7 separate regions of the Mus musculus genome follow, and all the other regions are reported to be linked to region 3. Evidence: microRNA targets listed by miRTarBase, many of them from high-throughput screens and not tested one by one. Region 3 holds a microRNA gene; each other region holds the end of a gene's coding sequence.

The links. The annotated mature microRNA mmu-miR-3064-5p reads UCUGGCUGUUGUGGUGUGCAAA and lies in region 3 at 2,767-2,788, shown strand. An mRNA with a match to its seed (bases 2 to 7 or 8) in the 3' UTR can be bound and repressed. Matches are read on the target gene's strand: a 7mer-m8 pairs with bases 2 to 8, a 7mer-A1 pairs with bases 2 to 7 and ends in A, and an 8mer does both.
Region 1: the mRNA of Ap5z1 is a reported target of mmu-miR-3064-5p. Seed matches in the 3' UTR shown: 7mer-m8 at 3,427-3,433.
Region 2: the mRNA of Abcd4 is a reported target of mmu-miR-3064-5p. Seed matches in the 3' UTR shown: 7mer-m8 at 3,246-3,252.
Region 4: the mRNA of Lypla1 is a reported target of mmu-miR-3064-5p. Seed matches in the 3' UTR shown: 7mer-m8 at 1,584-1,590.
Region 5: the mRNA of Dcp2 is a reported target of mmu-miR-3064-5p. The part of its 3' UTR that is shown has no 7-base or 8-base seed match.
Region 6: the mRNA of Aco1 is a reported target of mmu-miR-3064-5p. Seed matches in the 3' UTR shown: 7mer-m8 at 1,684-1,690.
Region 7: the mRNA of Lrch3 is a reported target of mmu-miR-3064-5p. Seed matches in the 3' UTR shown: 7mer-m8 at 2,797-2,803, 7mer-m8 at 1,945-1,951, 8mer at 1,798-1,805 and 7mer-m8 at 1,537-1,543.

What each region holds. Positions count from the first base shown.
Region 1 is chr5:142,477,273-142,481,337 of GRCm38, reverse strand. It overlaps Ap5z1 (adaptor-related protein complex 5, zeta 1 subunit), which reads right to left. Exons shown (of 17, transcript NM_172725.2): 17 at 2,623-4,065. The coding sequence ends at 3,852. Among named protein-coding and RNA genes, the nearest start is that of Ap5z1, 15 kb to the right of the region's middle.
Region 2 is chr12:84,599,449-84,603,516 of GRCm38, forward strand. It overlaps Abcd4 (ATP-binding cassette, sub-family D (ALD), member 4), which reads right to left. Exons shown (of 19, transcript NM_008992.2): 18 at 3,846-3,961; 19 at 3,083-3,711. The coding sequence ends at 3,643. Among named protein-coding and RNA genes, the nearest start is that of Abcd4, 16 kb to the right of the region's middle.
Region 3 is chr11:106,781,456-106,785,523 of GRCm38, reverse strand. Mir3064 (microRNA 3064) reads left to right here and starts at 2,765; the gene lies at 2,765-2,831. It overlaps Ddx5 (DEAD box helicase 5), which reads left to right. Exons shown (of 13, transcript NM_007840.3): 6 at 1-129; 7 at 228-388; 8 at 472-644; 9 at 1,000-1,110; 10 at 1,362-1,423; 11 at 1,506-1,565; 12 at 2,831-3,055; 13 at 3,268-4,068. The coding sequence ends at 3,674.
Region 4 is chr1:4,844,227-4,848,294 of GRCm38, forward strand. It overlaps Lypla1 (lysophospholipase 1), which reads left to right. Exons shown (of 9, transcript NM_008866.3): 9 at 737-2,509. The coding sequence ends at 790. Among named protein-coding and RNA genes, the nearest start is that of Tcea1, 11 kb to the right of the region's middle.
Region 5 is chr18:44,417,019-44,421,084 of GRCm38, forward strand. It overlaps Dcp2 (decapping mRNA 2), which reads left to right. Exons shown (of 11, transcript NM_027490.1): 11 at 548-4,066. The coding sequence ends at 711. Among named protein-coding and RNA genes, the nearest start is that of Dcp2, 39 kb to the left of the region's middle.
Region 6 is chr4:40,197,247-40,201,314 of GRCm38, forward strand. Aco1 (aconitase 1) reads left to right here. Exons shown (of 21, transcript NM_007386.2): 21 at 308-1,763. The coding sequence ends at 421. Among named protein-coding and RNA genes, the nearest start is that of Ddx58, 41 kb to the right of the region's middle.
Region 7 is chr16:33,012,199-33,016,266 of GRCm38, reverse strand. Lrch3 (leucine-rich repeats and calponin homology (CH) domain containing 3) reads right to left here. Exons shown (of 21, transcript NM_001081255.1): 21 at 238-3,926. The coding sequence ends at 3,777. It overlaps Iqcg (IQ motif containing G), which reads left to right. Exons shown (of 11, transcript NM_178378.3): 11 at 1-1,997. Among named protein-coding and RNA genes, the nearest start is that of Iqcg, 42 kb to the left of the region's middle.

The DNA.
Region 1 (4,065 bases), not on the chromosome of region 3:
TGACAGTGGACTACATATAATAAATAAATCTTGAAAGAAAAAGGAAGGAAGGAAGGAAGGAAGGAACATCCCTCCATGACCTCTGCATCAGCTCCTGCTTCCTGATCTGCTTGAGTTCCAGTCCTGACTTCCTTGGGTGATGAACAGCAATGTGGAAGTGTAAGCTGAATAAACCCTTTCCTCGCCAACTTGGTCATGATGCTTTGTGCAGGGCTTCTTGGTTCTTATTATTTAGCCATTCATAAAAAGAGCACAATACAGGCGCTCGGTCAGTGACGCATGCCAAGCATGAGGGGACAGTCTCATCATCCGTTTAAAGGCCCAGTGCTGACTGCCTGTGACCCAGTGCTGGTGTGTGTGTGTGTATGCTGCTTCTGCTGTGTGTGTATTGCTGGTGTGTATGTGTATTGCTGGTGTATGTGTGTATGCTGCTGCTGTGTGTATTGCTGATGTGTATGTTTGACAGGAAGATGCCTGAATCTATGCTAGCTGCATCTGAAAAAAAAAAAGTGGTTTCAATTGCCCAGTATGCAGAGTGTGACAGATCTTGGAGTCTCCATCAAATTCCTCCCCTCAGGGCTCCGGAAACTGCTGAAGAGGAGGCAGAAAGAGTGTAAAAGCCAGGGGGGATGAATGACACCTAAGACTGTCCTCCAGACACAACAGGACTGACACACACATTTGCTCACAGGCCGTGGCAGCTTTCGTGGGCTTTGCACAGATCCAAGCCCACAGGTCCCAGTGCCGAGATGAGGAAGTAGATTCCAGCTCCTATCCCCAACCAAAGAAAAAAATCTGTTTCTCCAAGGGAGCCTCATTGGGTAAACAAACCCCACTTACAGGTAGGCCCCACACTCAGCAGCAGATGGCTAACAGACATCTCAAAACAGGGATGTTTTGAGATCTCATACTGCTTTGTTTGGGTCCCCTGCCCCCTTACTAGTCTTGTGTGTGTGTGTGTTTCTCATTTGTATGTTTCTCCTACTTTCTGAAAAGTATCCCCCCCCCATTTTATTCATTTTTTTAAATCCTTGTTCGTCTTTTCTATTTGCTTGCTTGTTTTCTTAAGAAAGATATGAAATTGGAAGGGCAGGGGGATGGGAGGATCTGGGAGGAGATGAGGGAGGGGAAACTCATCAGAATAAACTGTATGAAAGTAACTATTTTCATTCAAAACTAAAATTATTTTAAAAATATAAGATTGATGGGATGGATCACTGGGTAAGAGGACTTGCTGCAGAGCCCGACAACGTGAGAGCAACCCCTAGGGCAGAACAGACTCGAAATCTGTCCTTAGCTCCACGCATGCTCTGCCTTCCCAAGGAGAACATAAGGAAAAAAATCCAATTAGGTGGAGAGCAACTGAGGAAACCAACCACTCCGCACCAACCCCCAGCCTCTCCATTGCAGGCACACACACACACACACACACACACACATTCATACCACATATTAAAACCTTGGCATGTGTGCAAACGGGTTGTCAAGCATTCATATGAAAGGTGATTATAACAGCCGAGGAGGTGTAAAAGCTTCACCAACGTCACGGGGGCCTAGGAGCCTGGAGCCCAAGCCTCTAGCCAGACGAAGGTAGGAAGAGTGGCTGAATACCGTATGTGACCCTCTGAGGGGCCAGGGCAGCCCCTGCCATCTGAGTGGGCACTTGGCTTTGTCTGGTGCTCAACAAGAAGAGGGCAGTGTGTCTTCAAACACCTCTGCCCTTGTTCAAGCTGGCATGGCTTCATCAACTTTCTGTGCAGTGCTGGTGGAGCCATGTACCCTGTGACTGAAGGATGCCAAGGTTCTGGGCTGCAGAGATGGCTCAGTGGTTAGGATCACTAGGAGTTCTTCCTGAGGACCTGGGTTCAATTCCCAGCACATGGGGGCTCACAAGCTTGCGACTCCAGTTCCAGTGGGTCTGAGGCTCTCTGACCTCTGCATGCAAAACATGCGCATGGCGCGCTGACATGCATGCAGGCAAAAACACTCACTGAATAAAGCAAAAGGCTAATTTTTTTTTTAAGTCACTAATGACACTGTCCTTCCTGCCCTCACAGGAACAGATAGCACTCCCTGAACACATCTGTCCAGGCCCAGCTCGGGGAGGGAGTTTGGCCCGGGCCCAACAGGCCTAGTGGTAACAAGTAAAGCTCTCCCTGAACGTGAATCCGGACACGAGGCCCACGTGGGCTTTAGTAACCCCGTGGCCTCGATAGGTGCACCCCACTTAGCCGCACACCTCAGCCGGAGCCTAAATTCAACTTTTCCTGAGGGAACTCCAGCCCCAATACAGAGCCCAGAAACAAAGTGAAGGATGGAGTTGTGGGTGGGGCCAAAGGCGTGCGCATCAATAAACTGGTGCGGTGGCGCCATCTGGTGGCCATGTGCTGTCAGTGCCTGAGTAGTTCTGAAGAACTATCTGTCCAGGGCTCAGGAAAATTGCAAAAATTCTCAGCAGGCAGGAGCCTGCACCCTTGAGCACCATGAAACCTGGAAGCCTCTGTGCAGAACCACTGGAGCACATAAAAGTCCTCCAAGTCTAGCCTTCCATATCCTTAAGTTAGGAAGCAGCATAATTAGGCAAACACCACCTGCATGTGGACCCAGAAGACACCGCGCCCTCATGAATACACCTTGAGTTTTATTTAGCTTTTAAAATGTCTTATGTGACCAAGGCATGGCGTGCGTTCTGAGAGTTGGTTCTTGCTTTCCAGCTCGTTCTTCCACTGCTGTAGCAAGCCTTTGAGCTTTGAACTGCTGTCTTCACAGCTACATACACACCATGGTACGCAGCCTTACACATGAGATCCAGGGGTCAACCCTGGGTCATCAGGGGCATCTAGCAAGGCCTTTTATGTGCTGAGTCATCTTCTAGGCCCAATTTCTTTTGTAGCCCAGGCTGCATTTCAAGTTGTTACCTAGCCAAGGCTGACCTTGAACTTCTGACCTTTCTCGAACTTCACTCCACCTGCTGAGTGCTGGGATTGCAGTGTGCACCCCATGCCTGGGGTTACACTCAGGATTAAACTCAGGGCTTTGTGAGTTTCAGCTCCAGAGCATGTCATTTCTGTCACATCAAGGACACAGGAGCCAATCAGGGGACCCAGGTATTTCCCTCAACAGAGGGCAGGGTGGGAAGGCAGCAGCCCAGGCTCCCTGGCTCTCCAAGTCCAAGGAAGGCAGAGAGAGGGGCCTGGGCTGTACACAGCACTGGAAGATTTACTTGGTGGCAGGCACAATGGCTCAGTAGGTAAAGGCGCTTGTCACTGAGCCAGGCAACCAGCCAAGACCCACATGGCTGAGGAGAGAACCGAGTAGCAAAAGCTGTCTCCTGATCTCGTGTGCACTGTGGTGTGTGCAAGCACATACATGTAATATTAAAGAATTCTCTTTTGGTTTTTTGAGACAGGGTTTCTCTGTGTAGTCCTGGCTGTCCTGGAACTCACTCTGTAGACCAGGCTGGCCTTGAACTCAGAAATCCACCTGCCTCTACCTCCTGAGTGCTGAGATGAAAGGCATGTGCCACCACTGCTCAGCATAAATAATTCTTTAGTTTATTTTTCCTGCACTGCTCCCTGCCCCCAAATCCAGAAATGAGTAACAGCAGCAAGCAGACCAGGCCATTTCTGCTCGGCCTAGGAAGTAACACTCAGTCACCTACCGGCTGCTCAAGGCTGACTGGCCAGCCACAGAGACAAGGTGAGATGACTCATCCCCAGGGGCTGGTGATCCCATCCTGACAGTCATGTCCACCATGCCTCACGAGTCACCCACGCCTGCAGCTCAGCTCCAATACTGCTGACTGCCCAGGCTCTCACGCTGTAGCTACTGTTCAGGTGGTGACTGTCCCTTCAACCTGGCAGGAGGCCAGCCTCCTTCTCCACCAGCCGGCTGACCGTGCGCAGAGCCAGAGGCAGGGCCACGTTGGTGTCCCGGTGGTAGCGGGGCTGGCACACGCCTGCAGGAGGTGTGAACACAAACTGGGCCACACTGGGCATCTTTAGTAAGGTTAGCAGCTCTGAGGCCCGGGTCCGGATGGATTCCGCACCCTCTTCACTGTGCACA
Region 2 (4,068 bases), not on the chromosome of region 3:
TAGTTCAGTTCCTAGCACATATCAGGCGGTTCGTAATTGCCTGTAACTCCAGCTCCAGGGGACCTGATGTCCTCTTCTGGCCTCTGACATAGGAGTTAGATCATTAAGACAGGTACTGAGCTGAACAGACAGAGTATGTTCAAAGGTCCACATTCTTCTTCAAGGGTCTCTTTTACCTATATCCCATGTCTTCCCATAAATTGCTCCGGTTCAGCGAAAAGTCTGCCCATGATTTCCATGTGTGTCAAAGGAGAAAGACTCTGGGAAGGGGTAGGTAGGGTGCAGGGTATCAAGAAAGACAAGGCATGGGCTAGAGAGATGGCTCAGCGGGTAAGAGCACTGACTGCTCTTCCAAAGGTCCTGAGTTCAATTCCCTGAAACCACATGGTGGCTCACAACCATCTGTAATGGGATCTGATGCTCCCTTCTGGTGTGTCTGAGAGAATCACTGTACTTGCATACATAAAATAAACAAGTAAATCTTTAAAAGAAAGAAAGGGCCGGGCATGGTGGCACACACCTTTAATCCCAGCACTTGGGAGGCAGAGGCAGGCAGATTTCTGAGTTTGAGGCCAGCCTGGTCTACAGAGTGAGTTCTAGGACAGCCAGGGCTACACAGAGAAACCCTGTCTCAAAAAACCAAAAAAAAAAAAAAAAAAAAAAAAGAAAGACAGACAGACAGACAAGGCAGGGAACAGACTTCTGAGCCAGGCCAGAGTCCTACCTCATCTGGGGATTCCTATGCCTACACTCAGGGGGGTAACAGTCTTCCATGAAAACAGTATTTCCTGAAGACGGGAAGAAAGTCAGAGTGGACCCAAACGTGGGTTTAATACATGTAGACTCTTACCTTCAACTTCCCCAAGTGTGGTGGACTCATCACCCATGACACCACCTCGCAGGCCCGGCAAAGGTCCAAGAAGACCCTGGGAGACGACACACACCAAGTTCCTTCCCCTAGAATATGTTCTCAGTTTTGCTGATTTTTTTTTTAAAGATTTATTTATTTATTTTATGTGAGTACACTGTAGCTGTCTTCAGACACACACTAGAAGAGTACATTGGATCCCATTACAGATGGTTGTGAGCCACCATGTGGTTGCTGGCAATTAAACTCAGGACCTCTGGAAGAGCAGTCAGTGCTCTTAACTACTGAGCTATCTCTCCAGCCCTGCTGATTTCTCTAGTTATAATTTTAGTTTTGTGTTCAGGAGACCAGATCTCATATAACCCACGCTGGCTCCAAATTAGTTAAGTATGTGAGACTCCTGATGGGTCAGCCCCAGTCTCCTGTAGACCTGGCTAGCCCTGAACTCAGAGATCTGGCACAGGCCACCACGCCCAGATTGCTTTTTGTCCCAGGACTGGCAAACTGGGCACGCTAAGATTAAAATGCTGTATCTGTCGAGAGGCTCCTCGATGGGTCATGGTGCAGAAGGCAACAAGTGACCAGGTAGGAATCCAGGAGATAGAAGGAGGGAGGGAGGGAGAGGGGGGCGGGGAAGGGAGGGAGAATGGAACCATCCACCTTTACAGTTAGCTCCTCCACGCTGGGACTGGCTCAGCCTATTCATGAGGGCAGAGCACTCTGGACCTAATCACCCCTAAGAGTCTGCCCACCTCTGGGTCAGGGAGATGGATCAATGGGTAAAGATGCCTGCTGTCCAAGCCTGACCATCTAAGTTCAATCCTAGGGACTCGGTTGGGAAAGGAGAGAATGGACTCCTGAAAGTTGTCAGTCAACTACATGAGTGCACTAGTGCCTGTACGTGTACACACACACACACATCTTTTTCTTTTCTTTTCTTTTCTTTTCTTTTCTTTTCTTTTCTTTTCTTTTCTCTTCTTTTTTAAAGGTCCCATCTAGGTTGGGCATGGTGGCACAAGCCTTTAATACCTGCACTCAGGGGAGAGGCAGGCAGATCTCTAAGTTCAAGTCTAAACCTAGTCTAAATAGTGAATTCCAGACTAGCCAAGGGTATACAGTGAGACTGTCTTCTTTTTTTTTTTTTTTAAAGTGGCTAGGTGGTGGTGGTGGTGGCACACGCCTTTAATTTCAGCTTGGGAGACAGAGGCAGGCAGATCTCTGAGTTCAGGGCTAGCCAGGTCTACAGATCAAGTTCCAGGATAACCAGGGCTAAACAGAAAAACCCTGTCTTGAAAAACAAAACAAAAAAATAAAAATAAGATAAATAAATAAAAACAAAAACGTCCCACCCCGCAGCAGTGTGACAACACACACACTATAGAAATATCACAAAAGAAAACATCTTTGGCATTAGTAACTTTATCTTATGCTTTTGGGAATCTGCTACTTAATTTATAGGGGTCTTACCATGCAACCCAGAAGAGTGTCACACTCATGATTCATCTGTCTTTGCCACCATTCCTTTGGGGCAACAGGTATGTACTTGGCTTAGTTTTTTTTTTTTTTCTTGTTCCTAATACAGATTTTGGGGTGGGGGTGGGGAAAACAAAAGAAGACATCTACCAACCTTATTTTAGCTAGTAAGGGGGGAAGGGATAATTTTCTTGAATTAGATAATAAAGATGTGTATCAGTGGTATCACAGCCGCGTAGGGTTCATAAGGCCCTAGGTTCAATCCGCAGTAATGAAACAGACGAACAAAAGATAAAGACAGAGGATCCCAAGAGACGGTGGTCTTGGCACTGGCCACACCCGCTGTCTCCAGGCCATTGGGTGGACAGGAGGGACACAGATTGAGTGGAAAAGCACAGCAGGTATAGGGCACGAGTGTGCCTCAAACCCTAGAGGACAAGTGTAGAGATGCTATAAAAAAGATCACTCTAGGGGCTGGAGAGAGAGCAGTCCCTGCTCCTGAGTTCAATTCCCAGCACCCGCATGATGGCTCACAACCATCTGTCCTGGGATCTGATGCCCTCTTCTGGTGTGTCTGAAGACAGCTACAGTGTACAGTGTAATATAATAAATAAATAAATCTTTGGGCCAGAGCAAGCAGGACCAGAGAGAAAAGAAAAAAAAAAGTTTCTGAAGACAGCTACAGTGTACTTACATATAATAAATAAATAAAAATCTTTAAATAAAAAAATCAGTCTATTGTAGAAGAAAAACCATATTTTTAATATTTATTCTTTTTTAAAAAGTTATAAATTTTAAATGGTTATTAAAGTTTTTTTTAAAAGGCTATCATTGTGAAATGTCACCAGTTTTCTTTTTCTTTCTTTTTTTTTTTTTTTTCGAGACAGGGTTTCTCTGTATAGCCCTGGCTGTCCTGGAACTCACTCTGTAGACCAGGCTGGCTTCGAACTCAGAAATCCGCCTGCCTCTGCCTCCCAAGTGCTGGGATTAAAGGCGTGCGCCGCCGCCCGGCATCACCAGTTCTTGAGTCCGATAGTTTTCTCACCCTGGCCCTTCACGTCTTACAGTTCATTCCGTTTTTCAGCAGCAAACGTCATCTGAAGTAAGAAGTCATGGGAGCAGCGCTGGGGAGACTCAGTGTTCCCTGTAGCGCCACCCGTGGGCAGGGCTAGAGGCTGCTAGGGCTCCTGTGTAGGACCTCAGGTGAATCTGTGGCTCCTTCCCGGCTCATCGGGCTTCCTTGTCTGTGGGCACCGCAGGCCCCGGAGCTCCGCTGCTCAGATGAACCTGCATGCTTGCCTTCATTCCAGTTTGATTCTAGTCAGCTCCCAGCTTCCTCCTCCGTGGAGTCTCAGAACCCAGGAGTGAAACTGCAAGAGCCCAGGACCCCACTGAGGTCAGACAGCTGCCAGAGCAGTCACCCCAATCCCTCTGCTACCTGACACCCCCAGGCCCAGCCTTTGGGTTCTTTCTCCTCAGCAGGCCACCCCTGTGGCCTGGGTACCTTCTCAAGGCTGGGACGATGTCCCACGCTGATAAATGTCATCCCCAGTTGCTGACCAATTCGGTAGAGCTCACTCTCTGCTTCCTCTGTCAGGGCACTGGTGGCTTCATCGAGCACTGACGAGCAGCATGTGGTGGCGAGAGATCACAGACTGCCCTTGCCCTCTCTGTCACTCCTCCAACCCATTCACCCTGGGATGTGGTGGACTGACAGGAGAGTCACG
Region 3 (4,068 bases):
CACCAACTCGAGAACTGGCACAGCAGGTGCAGCAAGTGGCTGCTGAATATTGTCGAGCTTGTCGCTTGAAGTCTACTTGCATCTATGGTGGTGCTCCCAAAGGACCACAGATTCGTGATTTGGAAAGAGGTGTGTGACCATAAAGGGGGATCTTTGTCACTGATGGAGATGATGGTTTTGTGTATTATAGTTAAAGCATCTACTCCTTTTTATTTATTTAATTAAAGGTGTGGAAATCTGTATTGCAACACCTGGAAGACTGATTGACTTTTTAGAGTGTGGGAAAACCAATCTGAGAAGAACAACTTACCTTGTCCTTGATGAAGCTGATAGGATGCTTGATATGGGATTTGAACCCCAGATAAGGAAAATTGTGGATCAAATAAGAGTAAGTATCTTTATGTTATCATAAAAATCAGTTCTAGGAATGCTCTTAAGATTGAAGTGTAACTTGCTTCCTTAAATCTTCAGCCTGATAGGCAAACACTAATGTGGAGTGCAACTTGGCCAAAAGAAGTAAGACAGCTTGCTGAAGATTTCCTGAAAGACTATATTCATATCAATATTGGTGCACTGGAACTGAGTGCAAACCATAACATTCTTCAGATTGTGGATGTATGTCATGATGTCGAAAAGGATGAAAAGTGAGTTTACATTTTTACAAATTGAGAAAAATCTTACATAAACTAAGAGTAATCAATTCTGAAAATTGTCTCAAAATAAAATTAAGGTAGTGTGCTATATGTTCTTTTAAAAGTCCATTTGTTGGTGATATGGCTTGGTGTGATATGAAGAACTTGCTTGGCTTGCATGAGGAAAACACTCATAGTTTTTGAACCTAGTCACTACACAAGCACGCATAAAGTGATACACCTGAAAATCTGTATGTGTGGTGGCTTAGTGGGTTTGACATTTGGATTCACTAAGCAAAAAATCAGGGTTGTGTTTGGTTTTGTTTTTATATCCTTTTAAAAATGGTGAGTTTTTCTTCATCTTTAGGCTTATTCGTCTGATGGAAGAAATCATGAGTGAGAAGGAGAATAAAACTATTGTTTTTGTTGAAACCAAAAGAAGATGTGATGAACTTACCAGAAAAATGAGGAGAGATGGGTATGTGGTTTCCTGAGTCAAAGCAGACTTAAAAGTACTTTGATCTGGGGCTAGTGTTTTTTGGGAATCATGCGCTGTGATATAGGGGTAATTGTATGGATTCGTTCCAGTGACTTGTAGTAGGCTCTGGGTTGCAATGCTTAGTGGGAAAACACTTGGCCAAGATGAAGTACAGTGGGAATAGATATTGGTAGAGTCTTGACAAGAGTTTTAAGTTGGGTATACTACTGATAATTTAATTCTTGGTATAGGTGGCCTGCCATGGGCATCCATGGTGACAAGAGTCAGCAGGAACGTGACTGGGTTCTAAATGGTATGTATTTCAAATAAGATTAGTTTGTAGCTTGATAACATCATTTGCTTGCATTAATGATTATTCATGGTTGTCTTTATAGAATTCAAACATGGAAAAGCTCCTATTCTGATTGCTACCGATGTGGCCTCCAGAGGGCTAGGTTAGTACAAACTCGAATTCATGGCTTGGTTTCCCAGAAGATCTCCATGTAGTTTTTTTTAAAGAAAGTTTATTGCTTTCTTTAACCTGCATTTTTTCTAAGTTTTTTTCACATAAAGGTGCAGTCTTTGTGGCAAGGCCTAGGCATGACAATCGGAGGACTCGAGGGGGATGGAGGACTAGTGATCGGCTGGCTGCTTCCAGTCGATTAGAGAGGTGAAAAGCTGAAAGTGTGCCAGTAATCTTCAAAGGGCAGAACATACCACCTCTGCCCCATAAACTGTTCTCTCCGGGGGAAAAAAATGGAAGTTACCTCACAGTTCACTGCCGTGGTATTTCATCTGTCCCATGCTTTGCATGATTGCCATGGTACAGCATTGTTTCAAACTGTTCACTGTGATCTGTGGGTCTTTGAGTTTCAGTGAGTTTGCTGAAATGTCGAAGAAATATTTCCAAACTTCAATGTTCAATGAAATTTTTGTTCAAGTTTGAAATGGAGAGAGCAGCTTTAAAAGCCTTTTACAAATTGGTGAGTACTGGCACATGAGACCTAGAGCAGGACCAACTTCTCACACATAGTCAGTGGGAAAAGAAAGTGCCTTGAAAGTTCCTCCCTCACCTACACAGTAGTCGTCATGTCGAGACCTGCCAGAGAGAGACACATTCTCAAGTGAATCCTGGCTTCTTGGAAGCGCTTGCCTAGACGAGACACAGTGCATTAAAACAACTTTTGGGGGACAGGTATGTTTTTCTTGCAGCTGCAGTTGTAAGGTCTTGGCAAGACAAGCAGTGTGGCCAGAGTTTTGAACTTCTGATGAGTGTAATGCAAAGGACCTTTACATTTTTGTTAAAAGGTCCTCAAAAATGAGCACATGAAGAGATTGCTGAGAAACTTTTAATTGGCCCTACTGCGCAGAAGCATTCAGATGTCACTTGATGATCTGTAAGGGGACTGTCAATTTGGGAATGTGCTAAGGAGAACACACATTCCCTTGATAGGCTGTCAGTGGGTGGGTGTTAAGACAGCTGACATGTGCAAATTTTTTTGTTGTTTTTTGGGTGTTTTGGTTTTTTTTTTTTCCTACCCTGCCCTTTTTTCCTACCTCAATGGTGTTCCTACAGGAAATGGATAACCATTTTAACTGTATTTTTTTCAGCCCGTACCTTCTTGGGAATACAATTGTCTAACTTTTTATTTTTGGTCTGGCTGTTGTGGTGTGCAAAACTCCGTACATTGCTATTTTGCCACACTGCAACACCTTACAGATGTGGAAGATGTGAAATTTGTCATCAATTATGACTACCCTAACTCCTCAGAGGATTATATTCATCGAATTGGAAGAACTGCTCGCAGTACCAAAACAGGCACAGCATACACTTTCTTTACACCTAATAACATAAAGCAAGTGAGCGACCTTATCTCTGTGCTTCGGGAAGCTAATCAAGCAATTAATCCCAAGTTGCTTCAGTTGGTCGAAGACAGAGGTTCAGGTAAGGATCTTCGTAAGAGATGTTTCTGGTAGGTGGCAGTTACCTCTTGTCTACAAAGTGGGATCGGAAGAATGAGTACTTCTTATTTTGAAACCTAAAGAATCTAAAAGCACTTAAGACCCAACATAAATAGAGCTATCTAACTCTCTCCTATCTTACCACACTTATGCCACAGATAAAAATTGATCAATTTCCACTTACTTTCTTGACAGGTCGTTCCAGGGGTAGAGGAGGCATGAAGGACGATCGTCGTGACAGATACTCTGCAGGCAAAAGGGGTGGATTTAATACCTTTAGAGACAGGGAAAACTATGACAGAGGCTACTCTAATCTGCTTAAGAGAGATTTTGGGGCTAAAACTCAGAATGGTGTTTACAGTGCTGCAAATTACACCAATGGGAGCTTTGGAAGTAATTTTGTATCTGCTGGCATACAGACCAGTTTTAGGACTGGTAATCCAACAGGGACTTACCAGAACGGTTATGATAGCACTCAGCAATATGGAAGTAATGTTGCAAATATGCACAATGGTATGAACCAACAGGCATATGCATATCCTGCTACCGCAGCTGCTGCGCCTATGATTGGCTATCCCATGCCAACAGGGTATTCTCAATAAGACTTTAGAAGTATATGTAAATGTCTGTTTTTCATAATTGCTCTTTATATTGTGTGTTATCAGACAAGATAGTTATTTAAGAAACATGGGAAATGCAGAAATGACTGCAGTGCAGCAGTAATTATGGTGCACTTTTTTCGCTATTTAAGTTGGATATTTCTCTACATTCCTGAAACAATTTTTAGGTTTTTTTTGTACTAGAAAATGCAGGCAGTGTTTTCACAAAAGTAACTGTACAGTGATTTCAAATACAATAAATGAAGGCAATGCATGGCCTTCCAATAAAAGATATTTGAAGACTGAATTAAGTGAAATTGTACTTTATTTTACATATATAATGTCATGTACAACTTGGCTTAGATAGTGTTTTTGGGGGGGATTTTTGTTTTGGTGT
Region 4 (4,068 bases), not on the chromosome of region 3:
TGTAAGTTTCAGAGACCTAGGAAAGGAGGAAAATGGATTAAGACGTGGGAGGCTTCCAGGAGAAAGCTACTGTCATCTTTTTCAAGATCTGCCTCACATACTTTCTTTCAAATATATAGCTGTATGTAATTCTTGATGAAAGGTACACATACAAAAAAGATTAGCTCTGCATCTATCATTTCATTTTAATAAGGAAGTGGGAAAGCAAAGCTTTTTTGCTGATATTCAGTTGTCAGTAAGTAGATATTACTGAAAAGTTCTCTGTATAGGTTAGTATCATTCTGAACTTCCTGATTCCCCAGTGTTTTATTTATGCATTTGAAAACACAGACTTTGCACGTGCATGGAACTAGATCATATGGGAGCTTTTGTTTTGGTGTACAATAATAATCCTAAGAAATGTTACACCGGACAGTGGTAGCGCACGCCTTTAATCCCAGCACTTGGGAGGTAGAGGCAGGTGGATTTTTGAGTTCGAGGCCAGTCTGGTCTACAGAGTGAGTTCCAGGACAGCCAGAGCTACACAGAGAAACCCTGTCTCTAAAAACCAAAAAAATAAAATAAAATAAAGAAAAGAAAAGAAATGTTATGAACTTTCTGTTGGCGCCTCATCCTTCTTACATTACCTTTATGTAGTAGTAAAACATCCTCACCTGCATGGATTTTATTAGTGGCATTCTCGGAAATGTACTTTCTGACTTCTGTAGCTGTTTATTAAATCATTTTTTCCAAACAGGAAATGATGGATGTCAAGCACTTCATTGATAAGCTCCTACCTCCAATTGATTGACATCACTAAGAGGCCTTGAGTAGAAGTTCACCAGCATCACAGTAGTAGAGTATAAACCTCTTCCCATGACTGACCATAGAACTTCTAATGTGTGCAGTGTTAAAATGTTTTGCAAATACATACCAATGATACAGACTAAATGATGTTACCCTCATGGGAAATATATGATCCTTTTAAGTGTCTATGCATATATTTGTATTATACAATTCAGAATATACTAAGTATTACAGTAGGTAAGTGAAGCAACTAGATTCTTTGTCTCAAATTCAGCAAAATAAGATAACAAACAGTTTTATTACATCATTTGAAAATTACTAGTATGTTCTGTGAAGATGTGTTCAGGTAAGATGTAAGTGACTTCTTAGTTCTGTGAGTTAGACTATAGTTTTACTCCACAATTGTTCAGTCTCCATGCAGTGTCTGTATTTTTCTGTTTGTATTCACATAGATGATACTATAATAGCTAAGAATCAGATGGTATTACATTATCCCTAATAATGGGGATAATGCTTTTGAGTGTCAAAAAGTAATACTGCATTCTTCAATTAATGGCCCTTCTATTGGGAGACCAGGCTTTTTTTCCCTTCTATGTAATTTTTCTCAAGAAAAAACAAGGTTCTTTTTTGATTTTCCGTAGAAAACTAATATTGCCTCTCTGTCATATATTTTATTTTGACATTTTGAGATACAGACATAGCCGGGCGTGGTGGTGCATGCCTTTAATCCCAGCACTCGGGAGGCAGAGGCAGGCGGATCTCTGTCAATAGCCTGGTCCACAGAGTGAGTTCCAGGACAGCCAGGGCTACACAGAGAAACCCTGTCTCGGAAACAAACAAACAAACAAACCGAAACACAGACATACAGTATTTCCAACCTAGGTAATATGAAAAGAAATCAAACATTACTTAAGTTTATATATTTCAAATAACTGCACCTTAGTCCAACTTTAGACTGTAGAGTTATAGACTCTCCAGTCCTGGTAATAAATCTGTGGTTTTATTTTTCTGTAAAACACTTAAAGGGGAAGTAATATCTTGGCATATTTAGAAATACTTGTGACTGGCTTCAAAATATAATTTCTTAAATATCTTATAGCCGATTTTAAGTTTACATTTTCTGTACATGTTATGCTTAAAACCAAATACTGTTCAAGATGAGCAATCAGACTTATGTTTTATTTTTATCTGGGTAACATATTATTTTGAAATTTTCATCTTAAGTAAAGGAGCTTTTGATAATCAGTCTCCTGTACAAATATTAAAATAATAATTTGATTTTAAATCATCAGCATGTTCAAAATACTGGTGAAAATTATTTAATATAAGGACTGGTTAGAACATTATATATATATCCCATATTTATAACTGTTACCACACAGTTGAATATGTTGCAAAAATTATGGTTATTTCTGAACGGTTGCTTTTCTTGCTGTTTTCCAACCAACCAAGAAGCACCTTTATAAACAGGTGCTAATTGATATGAAGATCATTTTGGTATGTCCTAGATAGAATGAAGCCAAATGTCTGGATTTAAAACAATTTCAAACAATCATTTACTATTTTGCTTTACTTTAAAGAACATAAATTTACTTCAGTTATTCTATCTGTAAAGATTTATTTGGTATAAGAAATATTCCATTGACTGTGTGCTGTAATGTGGGAAAATGTCATGTTTTTCACAGTTTCTATCAATGTGAAATAAAATTTAATTTTGGCTTTATCGATTGCTTTATATAGTACTGTTTCTTTTTTCTTTTCTTTTTTATAGATAGGATCTGTACTGGCTAGTTTTGTGTCAACTTGATACACCTGGGGTTATCACAGAGAAAGGAGCTTCAGTTGAGGAAATGCCTCCATGAGATCCAGCTGTAAGGCATTTTCTCAATTAGTGATCAAGGGGGAAAGGCCCCTTGTGGGTGGGACCATATCTGGGCTGGTAATCTTGGTTCTATAAGAGAGCAGGCTGAGCAAGCCAGGGGAAGCAAGCCAGTAAAGAACATCCCTCCATGGCCTCTGCATTAGCTCCTGCTCCCTGACCTGCTTGAGTTCCAGTCCTGACTTCCTTGGTGATAAACAGCAGTGTGGAAGTGTAAGCTTAATAAACCCTTTCCTCCCCAACTTGCTTCCTGGTCATGATGCTTGTGCAGGAATAGAAACCCTGATTAAGACAGGATCTTACTGCATGCCCCTGCTGGCCTGGAACTTGCCTAAGTTACCTCTTCTAAGTTGCCTTGGGCATGGTGATGTATCACAGCAACAGAGAAGTAACTAATCATGCTGGCCCACAACTCACAGGCTTGCCTGCCTTTGTCTCCCAAGTGCTGATATTATAGATGGGTGTTTCCATGGCCTGATGTTTTTCCAAGTTTTGTTTTTTTTTTGTTTTGTTTTGTTTTTTTTTGAGGCAAAGTCTTCCTTATAGCTAGCCCAATCTTGCCTTGAAAGCCTCAATCCTCCTGCCTCTTCCTCCCTAGTCCTGAAATAATAGTTGTATACCAGCACAGCCAGTGTCAAGTCGTAACATTTGGGCTTACTTTGGAATGATCTTCTATATTGAAAGAAGGATATAATAATACAATCATGAGAAAATGCATTGGGAGAGAAAATTTGGTGTGATATGATTACCTTGGAATGGAACTAGCCATGAGAAGAAAAAAGTATTTTAACTTAATTTTAATCTGCTAAAAAATTCATAACCTATTTAAAAATTCTTAAACTATTGAGAAACTTTATTGGGTGTTTTCATCTTTAATGTAGTTATCACTAGGAATTTTAAATAACTACCATATGTCAGTTATCCAAATATTTTTTCTCTTACATATTTTATTAAGTTCTAACTTTTACCACTACAGGGGTTTATTCTTTTGTGTCAAAAAGTGTTTCTGGCCGGGCATGGTGGCGCACGCCTTTAATCCCAGCACTCGGGAGGCAGGGGAAGGCGGATTTCTGACTTTGAGGCCAGCCTGGTCTACATAGTGAGTTCCAGGACAGCCAGGGCTACACAGAGAAACCCTGCCTCGAAAAACCAAAAAAAAAAAAAAAAATGTGTTTCTGTTTCTGGTTTTAAATACTTGAAGTTGACAGCTTACCCTTTTGTGATTCTGCCTGTCTGGTTTTGATATAGGTAGGAGACTTTGTGATGGTTTGAAGAAGAACTGTCCCCCAGAGGTTCCATCCCTAGTTGCTGGTGCTATCTGAAGGTTACATCGAGGGGCAGGCTAGCCGCAAGAAGTACATCACTGTGGTCAGGCCATGAGAGTTCACAGCCTTGCTCCACTC
Region 5 (4,066 bases), not on the chromosome of region 3:
ACACAAGAGTAAGAAATGAACAAAGATGCTCTAACCTTACTATGGAAAGCTATGCTTGTCTTCTAAACATGGGGCTTACCATTAGCAGTTAGAATTGATGTGTTTTCACATGTTTCTTTTGACTTTTGGTACTGTATCTAAAAGGCATTGCTAAGACTGGTTGTCAAAAAGCTTTTGAGGTTTTCTGTTTTAATCTACTAAAATTTGATAACTTCAACTGTATTTTCCTATACTTCTAATCTTTACAGTTTTTTTAAATTGTAATTTTTATAATAACCTCTGCCAAGGAGCTTTGGTTACTGTTGCACAAAATACAAATATAGGTGCTAAAAACATGCCCATTTCGAAAGCAGGGGTCTTAAAAGGTAGGCTAAATATCTGAATTAATAGAAATAAGTAGAAATAAGCAGTAACCGATTCCACTGAATCCTAAAGTGAGGTGTTTAGGATCGAGTCAGGAAGACTTAACTTAAACATGTGAGTGCGTGAAAGGCAATTTCTGGTTAACTTTCTGAGTTATTGTCTACTAATTCTGTTTCCTAAGCAGATGCCACATGTGACCTGCCTTGTTCTGGTGAAGAGCCGTCGGTAGAACATGCTGAGGGACATTCTGTGGCATGCAACGGACATTGCAAGTTCCCATTTTCATCCAGAGCCTTTCTGAGTTTCAAGTTTGACCAAAATGCTATAATGAAAATCTTGGACCTTTGAGCCAGCAAGAGTATTGCAGAAGTCCCTCGATCTGAGACCTGTTGCGTGTGAGTGGCTGTCTCCTCAAGCCTTACCTTTCTCAGGTATCTGAAAGAAGTGCAGGGAGGCCATGTTTCTAAAGAGATGTTCTGTACAGACGAGAAACTAGAAAGAAACACAAGTTTGCACTGTAAATGCATTTAGAACTTTTTATATGGATTTACCATTTCAGTGTTTGGAACCAAGTTTTAGTTGCCTGTGTTTTTTTTTGTCTCTCCCTTATTTTTGTGTGACTGTGTTTTGTTTTATATTCTCATCAAGAGTTGTTTTGATTGCATCATCAGCAAGTAGCCATGTCAATAGGAGTGTTTCACCTCCCCATCTTAGTGATTGCAAAAAGCTTGCTTATTGAAAACTTAAAGGAACTTAAAACCCCAGTTACCAATGTACTGGGCATCAGAGCTGAACCGTGAGGTGAGGATGCAGGCGTTTACTCATCTCTGCCTCTAACCACTGAGAGTCTAACCTTCCAACTGGAGCTGCACAGTGAACCTCGAGCACTTCATCAGGACCACATCCACAGCCTGGAGAGAGATGGAGTCAGTGGGGAGCTGATGCTGTGGATATTGAGCTCTGATGTTTGCTGTCAAAAACCTGTGAGTGCTGGAGCAGAGAGCATGGAAGCAATAGCTGACAGTTACTCCAGGTCATGCCTTGACTCTCCTGCCTCCGTCCGTTCAGTATTGTGTCGTGATTATGCCTGTGTGAAACGTCTATGCGTATTCTAGTTGTGAGTCTGTGTGGAAAACTTCATTCTTAGTTCTATATTGCATCTCAACGTTGATCTGTGTAAGCTGGTATTATGTTAGGTTCCAGTTTGCAGTAATACTAGACTGACATGCTTTTCATTAATATCTTGAAGCCCCTGAGTTACAACGTGAGAAAGAAGGGGATCTGCAGTTTACCAGTAAGTCCAGCATGTCACTAGGGGACCGACCCTTGAAGTAATGTACTTAGATCACACGTAGGAATGTATTTTGTATTTTGCTCCTTCAGAATTCTTAAACCAAACACGGGTGACAGTGCCCACTTTGCAGAGATCGCCTGTTGTTGAGGACAATCACCAGAGCTTTAAGGAGGCAATATGATGTTGGCTGCCCCTGACCTCGCTGAGAATCTCTTCTGGGGTGGACTGTGCTGTTAGAGTGCATGTGTACACGTGCGTCTGTCGTGTGCGGTTTTAACAAGTGGTATCCACAAAGTATATCTCTGCTTATAAATAGTACTATAGAAATCTCTATGCTGTATATGTAGCCTATTTAACTGGGGGTTCTGCCTAACCCCATGGGACTTAAAAGGAAGGGCTATTATTGTAAGGAATTCACTTGGTATTACTACTTTGCTTTAGCTTTTAAATGACTGATTTTAAAGAAGAAATTATATTTATTCATGAAAGTGTCACTCGGTGCTAAGCAGGAGACTTCACAGTGATACAGTATGTTTGGAATCTTCTATGCGACTACTTTGTGAATCCTTCTGTGACCTTTGCTTTTTAATGCATTATATGATTGTGTTTGGAAGCCCTTACTGTTCTTGTCAGAAATACAGCTGCTTTGCTTGGGTCTTCTTGAGCCATATTTATAATTGGTCCCAGCATTCCAGATTTCTGTTAAATGGTTAAGGGAGTGAAAACTGAAGCTTGCCTGGCAGTGAGCCACTGTCACTCCCTGACTGTCACCAAGAAACCATTGTGTGTGTGTGTGTGTGAGAGAGAGAGAGAGAGAGAGAGAGAGAGAGAGAGAGAGAGATATTCTTCTTAAGTGAGCACTTCAGTCAGTCCCTGGTGCCTGTAGAGGTTGGATTCTCAGCTCTCCATACTAGAGCAAAATCAACTAGCTAGCACAAGGTCCATGGCCCTTAAAGTGGTTGACTGTAAGAACCAACCAGTGATGTGCTGCTTCATTTAATGCACTGTGGAACAAAGCAAGGGCATGGTTGGGGTGCATTTACAATAACTTTAGGCTTTAGGTCTCTCAACAGGCTGAAATGTTGAGAGAGTAAGGTTTGTATGTGTGATGTGACTCAACTATGCAGAAAATGTTAAGTTGGTGTTCTTGTTAATGTAAGTCCAGCGTACACACTTCTTCACTGTACAGTTTAGCTGGGAGACCATATTTAGCACAGGACGGGATTTCTTCTCTGAGCTATGTTAGCGTTTCTTCATAGGATCTAGTGATGAGGACTCTGAATATGCAGTAATGTGCTTCTGTGTAGTGCCGCATTTAGAGACAGACTCTAGAGGGAACAGTAGATACGTCGGCCTTATTATTATTTGTGTTTGAGAGGTGAGACTTTAAAATCGCTTTTAAACATCCTTAGGATCCAACTGCATGTGTTCCGAGGTGCAGTGCACTGTGAATCTTTTTAAGTCTAAGTTTGTAGGTGCTTTTATGTGTAACTTAAGTGGTTGGAAGAATGTTTAATAACTTTGTCCTCAACCATTGTACTCAAAGAGACAAAGGATACAGTTTACATACTTTCTGTAAGATTTTGTTAAGAAATAGTGAATGAATGACTCTAGGATTTCAAACAGAGATTCCATCCTGAGACATGAGCACTTGGAGGGGCTGGAAAACCCAATAGATCGGATAGCTTGGAAAACTTGGTGAGCCATGTTGAAAGAGCTAACTAGATTTCTGTACCAATATGTGAAAGATAGTTGCCCAGAACTGTCAGAGGGATTGTGGTCACTGCTTGCTGCTTTGACCTTTGAATATCATTATTTTTATATTAAATACTAATTAGTAATTAGCTATATAGCAGATTAATATTATGCTGTAAGACTTGGCTAGGCTTTTTTTGGGAGGCTTTAATAATTTACATGTAATGTCAATAAAAATACAAATCTAAGAGAATGGCCACAGGAATCAGATTCCTTTATAAAATACTGTGTTTTCTAAAAATGTCAAGGACTGGCACCTGTGTGCATTAAAAAACATTTCATTACCAAATTCCTTACCAGTCCTGTTTCTCTAGCATTAGTTCAACAGTAAGGAGAGAGTGGGACCTCGAAATGATAACTGGCTGGACAGGTTTTATTCCCATAATGCCTCTTGGCCTTTGCTGTGTCTATGCGTGCCATGTTGGAGATTTTAATGACAGCTGTTGTGTCCATGTTCTCTGAGGCAGTATTTTCTTTGTATTATTATTCATGGTTGTATTCATTAATACTTCTTCTGTTTTTGAGTTGGGTTATTGTGTATTATTATTATTGAGAAAAGAGGTTCAAACGTGTTATAACTAGAATTGACCATCAGCAAAGGACACCACTCCCAGGTCTAATGGTATTCTTCACCTTTGTGTATGTAGTGTTACT
Region 6 (4,068 bases), not on the chromosome of region 3:
CCAGAAAAGACTTAGGGCAAAGCGTCACAGTGTCACTCATAGCTGCTGCCCTGAGAGGACACTTTGTTCTCATGTGCTACACCTGTGTCATTAATTCTGCAATGCTCCTCAACCTCTGGTGGGCACATAAATTCCCAGGGTTCTTGTTGGGTGCAGAGACCACTGGTTCCATCCGCTGCTGGCACTGTGGGCATATACCACGCCCCAACTGAGGCCAGTGGGCAGCCAAGCCAGGCGGAGTCTCCCTGAGGTGGGAGTCTCGGTTCAGCCCCGCCTTCAGCAGCGCTCTGCCTCTTTGCTCTTGCAGCTGGACACTGGGAAGACCTTCCAGGCCGTGATGAGGTTCGACACTGATGTGGAGCTCACGTACTTCCACAATGGAGGCATCCTGAACTACATGATCCGAAAGATGGCCCAGTAGGTGCTGACCTCTCAGGAGACCCGCACTTGGTGCTAGACCCAATGAGGAACCAGGCCCCCACTGGTGGAGGCCTGGCAGAGCAGCCACATCTACTTCTGATGAGGGTGCTGGCAGGATGAGCAAGTGGGCACTGCCATTCCTGGAGGCACAGAGCCAGGAGTCTCTAGTTTTGTGATTTGTTCATCTTTTTATCCCTTTCTGTAATCTGGATTCTAGAATCACGGGAAGGTCCGTAGTACCAAAGAGAACTCGCTTCTCTTTAAAGTCACGGACATTGATTTTTTTCCCTCTGACTAATCTTGAGCTCAGCACTAGCCAGTATTCTCAGAAGTGGCTCCTACCCTTTCTGTTGTTCTGTGTTTGTCTCTGCTCGGTGACACCCTTCCCTGGAGAGCCCAGTCCTCCGTGTATTACACCAGTGTTAACTGACATAGCATAGACCTTCTTCACACTTCAGATTCATAGCAGCGATGGGATCCCTTCCTTTGAAGTGAACAAGTCCTTGTAGATAGGTCACCCGTCAAAAGTGTTTGATTATCTACCTTTCAATCAACATGAGATTGCCTCTTACCATTTTCAACGATTGTTGACAGGGGTCCTTTGTTTGAAAATAACTGGGGAGAGATACGGGATTTCTAATTTGAATAAGATTAAATATATTTTCATGAAAACGTGTTGGCTTTGGAGTTGAGTTCTGTCGGGGGAATGTCGCGACACTGAGAGCCCCGGAAGTCCTTCGAGTCCTTCGAGTCTGCTGTTTGTACCCCTGCGTCTGAGCTGCGGGCACAGAGGGAACACTGTGGAGCCAGCGTGTGAGCAGCTAGTGTCAGCGCAAAGGACAAGAAAGCACCTTCTGTCTTGGTCACAGCAGCAGCAAAGAGCATATCGCAACTTCTTGGTGCCCTAAAATCTCTTCACTGATCTTCATAACTGGAATTATTTTAGGGTGTGCCTTATTCTGCTCAGGCTGCTGTAGCAAAATGCCTGAGTAAGAACCAGAACTGAGAACTGAGCTGTGAGTGACCCAAACCCTGAGCCTTGTCCAGACCACCCAGTGCCTGTGATGGAGTAAACATTCCGCTGGGGGAGGGGTTGCTTTGTCTCTCTTAACGTTTTATCTTTTCTTTCCTTCTTTTCTTTTTCTTTTTTTCTTTCTTTCTTTCTTCTTTTTTGTTGTTGATGTTGTTGTTGCTGTTGTTGTTTGGTTTTTTTCGAGACAGGGTTTCTCTGTATAGCCCTGGCTGTCCTGGAACTCACTCTGTCAGCCAGGCTGGCCTTGAACTCAGAAATCCACCTGCCTCTGCCTCCCAAGTGCTGGATTAAAGGTGTGCGCCACCACCGCTAGACTGTGTCTCTCTCTTTTTTTTTTTAACTAAAAAGTAAAAATTGTATTTACTTCGTACATGATTTTTTACTATGTAAACATCATGGAGTGGCTGAATTGAGCCTCACATTCTTACTTCTTGTGGTGAGAATACTTCCAAGAATATATTTTTCGAAGAATATAGGATGTATAGATTTCAACAGCAATCTCTGTGCTGTACTGCTTCTTCCTCCTGAATGAAATCCCACGTTCTTCCATGTTTTCACGTATGGCTTGTACTATTTTCTCCATTCATTTCATAGCTGACCCTTCACTGCCTCCTTAGCTATGACGTCCTCTCCGCCCCCGTAACTACTGCCGTGAACATTTAGACATAGTGAGATTGTGCTGTTGTCTTCCTTTTGTGCATGGCCTTTTTCATTTAACACAATGTCCATAAAGTTCATCCCTGTTGCCACAAGTAGTGTATCTGTGTGTACAGGCGTGTGCCCTTTGTTGTCTTTACTGATTCAGCCGTGGGTAGACAACCGGGCAGACGCTACCCTAGCTTTGTGAGTAGCACTGAGATGAATGATGCTGCAGGTGTTCCTCAACAGACTGGCTTGATGCCTTTGGGTGCATACCTAGAAGTGGAATTCCTGGGTCATAAGAGTGGCCTTTGTGACTTTCTGGAGGGCTCCATACTGTTTTCCTGTTACATGTACCTGTATATGACCTCCTACTGTGTGTGCATCCCCTCTCCCGTACTCTCAACAGTGCAAACCTTGATTTTTTTTGATATGGTTTTAACTATGGTTTTATATGCAACTCCCTGATGATTAGTGATGTTGAGTATATTTTCATGTATGTATCAATCACTTTTGTGACTTGTTTTGAAAAACGTCTGTTCAAGTCCATTGCCCATTTTTAATTGAGTTATTTCATTTTGTTGTTGAATTTTAATACCACCTATCCTAGATAGTAAGTATTTATCAACTATTTTCTCCTATTTTGTAGTCAGTCTTAACCCTTGACTATTTACACGGCTAGAAAACTTTTATTTGGAAGCAGTCTGGTGGGCCCGTTTTCCTTTTCGTTGCTGAAGACGTAACTATAAATAGCGCCATAGCATTTCTTGCATTTATCTAATCCTTTCTTGGAGTGAGGTCTTATGCTTAAGTCTTCAATCTGTTTTGAGTTGCTTTTCATATAGTGTGAGATAAGGGTCCAGCTTCGTTCCTTTGCATGTGGACATCCAGTTTTTCCAACAGCATTTATTGAAGACAGCTCTTCTCCATTCACTGGGTGTCTTGGCTTCCTTGTCAAGTCCTAGCCACGCCGGTGTAGGTCTACTTCTGCGGCCTCTGTTGTTTCCCATTGGGTTCTGCATCTCTTCTTAGGTTAGCAGAATGCTGTTTTCATTGCTGTGTCTTTGTAATATATTTTGAAGCTTGATAACGGTAATAATTTCAGTTTTGTTTTCCTTCTTGGCATATCTTTGGCTGTTGGGAATCTTGTGGATCTGTGTACATAGTAAGGAAGCTTTTGCTTTTTGGGAAAATACAGCATTGGGAATTTCCTAGGATTGCACGGCATCTGCAGATCATGGTGTTAGCGCAGACATGTTAATAACTTTAATTTTTTTTTGTATGGAATTTAATTTTCTTAAGCCCCCGTATGGCTCATTAGTTGTTCAGGAGCATAGTATTTACACATTTTTTGCACATCTCTAAAATGTCTCCTGTTACGGGTAGGTGAGGACTCACTTCCACGTGGCTGTGGATGTCCCTCTTGGCCCCTTGTATGCGCGGTGATGTTCTTTGGTGGAGTCTCCTGTCTGTCTAGTGGAGGTTTGGAGTTGTGATTGCAGTGAGCCTCAGGAGTCCAGTGATACCGCAGGCTGTTTTAAAAGCTGGGCGCACATATGAAAACTTGCTCTTCCTCCGACATTTTGTATTTTAAACACCATGCTTAACTTGTTTGTATACTGTGCACCTAATAACTCATGGTTGTGATTATCATTTTAATGGTGTTGTCTTTAAACCTTTAAAGTGGAAGTAAATGGTTGGAAGGTTTGCATCCCATCCAGTAGCGTTCTCGTTGGATCTGGACTTAGTTCCTTTCCCTGGGAGTTTTATGCTTTTGTGTCTTTCCTTGTTTCTAGTGTCGGCTTGAAGAACTGCCTGTGGTGGGGATGTTAGGATGGCTCCCTTGTCTTCTATTTGAGAAAGCCTTTATCCTCTCTTCAATTTTAAAGAACAGCTATGCCAGGAACGGGATTCTTGGCTGGCAGTTTTTAGGGGTGGGACTCTTGGATCTTGGCTTCCTCAGCCTCCAGAATATC
Region 7 (4,068 bases), not on the chromosome of region 3:
CCAACCAGTGTATATGTGGGCCCAGGCTTGGAAACGTGTGCATGCCACAGTGTGCAGGGGGTGGAGTCAGAGGACAGGTTCCAAGAATTGTTTCCTTCTAATGTATCTCTTTGTACTATTTGGGTCTCAGATATCAAACTCAAGTCATTGGACTTGGCAGCAAGCCCCTTTTCCTGCTGAGCCATTTCATTGGCCCTCAACTGTGGTTTTTTTTTTTCCCCTGAGAGAAATGTTACCTTAATGTGTCTCACATATTTCATGAATATAAAATTTAAACTTTTTGATGCAGGGTCTCATGTGGCCCAGGTTGGTTTCAAATTCACTACGTAGTCTAGTGGCCTTGAACCTCATGTTGTGCCTCCTAAGTGCTAGAACTACAGGGGCGAGTGACCATACCTGGTTTATGCAGCGTTGGGAATGGAACTTGGACTCCATGCATGCTAGTAGGCACACTTCTGACTGTACTCCAGCCCCAGCCTGAGTGGAGCCTTCTCATCCACTGCCTACGCAGGCCAGCCTGCTATCTGTACCTCTTTAAGAAAGAGACTGTGAGCCTCAAAGGTTCAGTGAGCCAGATAAATGGCCTTTCCATGACTGGTCTCTGGCAAGAAAACCATGCTTTAGGCTGGAACAATTTAAAGTGTTTATTACATGCTACTGGAGTATATTGGCTTTTAATGTCCACATATAAGATGACATACAGGCAATTTAAAATAACATACACAGTACTGACATATTTATACTTAGAACTTACACAAATATTTACAAACATACAAATATAGGACAATGTTTACAAAAACTTATTAATTACATGTTTATAACACTTCAGAAATAAAATCTGCTGTAAACCATCTCACTGCAATGAAAAAGGCTTCTAAATAACCAAGTTTTCCTTCATTTCTACAACCATCTAAGTACTTAGTTCTTAAAAGTCCATCAGACTCGTCAGCATACCACATTATTAGTCACTGCTGACTAGAGGCAAAGAAACAGCAGGCTCCTTCATTAGTTGCAAGGATGTATTTACAGAGCTGCTGGATTGGAAGCCACCCACTGCTCTGCCTTTTCTAGTCTGTTCTAGGCAGATAGGAAAGTTCCTCTGGAAAGTTCATCAGACCTGCTCATTACAGGGGAATCCTGGTCAGAGTGCCTGGCAGCCTGCAGACTGCTGACATAACATCTCTGCAGGTGGCAGGGCAGAGCCAGGCAGACACTTGGCTCATCTACCTTACCATTGGCAAGGTAGCCATTGCTGGTCAGGGGACTATGACATGGCTAACTTTATCTTTATTTCCCGCTGGGGTCTAGCAAGGTTAAATATCCAAATGAGTTGTCCTTTCCAATTTGGAAACCTGTAAGAAGCCACAGGGCCCAACAGAAGCACTGACCTGCTGTGTGCTGACTCACACTGCGCAACTGTATCCTAACCCTTCAGAGTTGCATTAGTTTGGTAAGTGCATTAAGTAAGGTCTCAGGAAAGCCGCAGTGTTAAAATGTCCTCCTCCTCTTTCTGAGGGAGGGTCTCACTATGGAGCCCTGGCTGTCCTGGAACTCAATATGTGAATAAGATCTGTCTCCTCTGTCACTCAAAAGCTGGGAGTAAAAGCATGTGCCACCCTGCTCGGTAATGTCAACTTTTAGGAACTCTTGTAGCCATTCCAAGTGTTGTATTATGTAATGTCTTCTGGGCCCATTTTCTGTACAATTAAATATGGAATTTAGAAATGATGCTGAGGTTTAATGCTGCCTAGAGGAAGCAAATCTGCGGTCCAGCAGCACAGCTGGTCATAGGCAAGCTCTGGCTGCCACTCTGCGGTCTGCTGGTGAACGGGCTAGGCTCTGAGCTCTGGTTCTACTCTTCTGTGAGGACTACGATGCTCTAGGTTAGACTTACTTTTTCTCGAGAGCTCTAGTCGCCTGAGTTACAGGCATGAGCCACCGTGCCTGGCTGCTGTTACATGCTTTGAAACTTGAATAAAAGTGGCAGCGTTCTAATGAATACTTTTCTGCACGAACAAGGAGAAATATTATTTTGACTAGATATTCAAAATGATTTGGTTCAAAGTCACTTTCAGAGGAAGAATATATATTTTTAATACTTACTTTTATTCATGAGTGTTTTACCTTCATGTATAAATGTAGACCATGCATGTGCCTGGTACCTGCAGAAGCCAGTAGAGTGCAGTGGACCCTTGGGGTTACAAGCAGTTGTGAACCGACTTGTGGGTGTTGGAAACTGAACCCTGACCTGCCAGAGCAGTAAGTGCTCTTACCTACTGAGCCAGCTCTCCAGCCAAAGTCTAATACAGCCCAGTGGGCGGTGGCTTGCATCGCCTGGTGTGGGCTTCAAATCCTGATCCTCCAGCTTCCACTTTTGGGATGTTGGGAATCCCAGGCCACGCGTCTCTCTGAACCTTTTTTCAGGTGATGCTGGGGATGGAACCCTGGTCCAGTCTTAAAGTTACTTTTAGGTGCTGTGCAGGGTAATACTATTCTGAAATGCAAGCCTTGGGAAGAAACCCACAAAAGTTAACAACTATAGGGAAAACCCTATAGAACAAACAGCTTTATGTAATTACTGTATTTGGGTTCTAACTGCAGCAAACACCAAAGATACAACAACTAAAGAGTCCAAACTCTGGGGCAGAGAAGGCTCTGTGCTGTGTTTAAATGAAGGCTCCTCCGCTGTGCTGGAGCCCTTGGACCTTCTGTTCTCTGCTCACAGTGGAGGGTCTTAGGGAGGGGACAGGTGAAAGACAGGAAGCTGTTCTCGGTGCTTTCTTGTAGCTATGGAAACTGGCTGTTACCTGCATGGACTGTAAGAACCGTCTTTCCTTCAGTCCTCTCAGCTTTGTGTTCAGTCCCAGGAGCAGGAGCCGAGTCTGCTGTGCCTGGTCCAGGAGCCTGGGATCAGAACGCAGGGTTCACCAAGGCAAATGCAAACATTGCTGGGCAGTGCATGCTACACTTCAGAGCTTACAACTGTGTGTGGAGTGTGTCTGTTCAGGAAACAGCAGGGTGAGCAAGGAACCACTGTCTAGAAAAAGATGGGGTGGTGGTGGGCAAGCCTGGGGAAGGGCCTGGGTACTGGCCTTAGTTACCTGTTATACTGAGCAGAACCTAGGGCTTCTCCATGGTTTTGCTCTCTTTGACAGAAAAGTCCAAGTCATCATAATACAGCTTTTGATTGAAATGTGGTTGAAAATGCAGTAGGGGTGGTGCCCTCAAACCACAGAACTGTGTGCCTTCAAACAGTGGTCTCCACTGCCTGAGAAAAACAATGTCTGTAGAAATGCAGGTTCTCCGGCCACATCCCAACCTTTGATGCAAATCTGGATTTCACAAATGCTCCAGAGAATGAAGTCCAGTTGTGGAAACCATTGAGCTGTAGACACCTGGGAACTGGCAGAGATAATATGTCTGTCCTCTAAGAGAGCTTACCATCCAACTATGAAAATACTGGCTCTGGCATGGAAAGCGAGCCTGCTCCCTATGAAGAAAGCACAGCCAGCTTAGTCTTCCATGATAGGTCTTCAGTAATCCAAGTTCCACTTAAAAAAACTGTGTCTTCATTAAAAACGAAAAATAGTGGAAACGGGTTTAATCTCCCCTAAAATGGAGAAAAGGAACACAATATTCCTGGCAGGAATCATGAAGACAGTGCTTCTAGGAACACACCGGGCTCGCCCTGAGCAGGCAGTGCCAGCAATCAAGTCTTCCTGCTCCTTGTTTTGGCTGTGCCATCATGGTGCCAACATGCAGGGCCCTGGGAGTCCTCAGACAGCAGAGAGCTGTGGCTGCTGCTGCTGCGGCTGCTGCGGTGGCGGCTGCTTGGGTGGGGCAAGCTCCAGGAGGGCCTGGACTGTCACTGCAACCTGGCCCAACCCTTTCTCTTCTAAAATGTGCAGAGGCAAGCACAATTGCTCCTGAAAGGGGACAATGTGACATAAAACAAACAAACAAAAAGAAAACAGGATGAACATCACAGAACTGAAGAACACAGGTCCTTCCACCCCCACCCCATAATAATCAAGTGAGTTATGGAAAGTCCCTGGTAAACCCACCCTG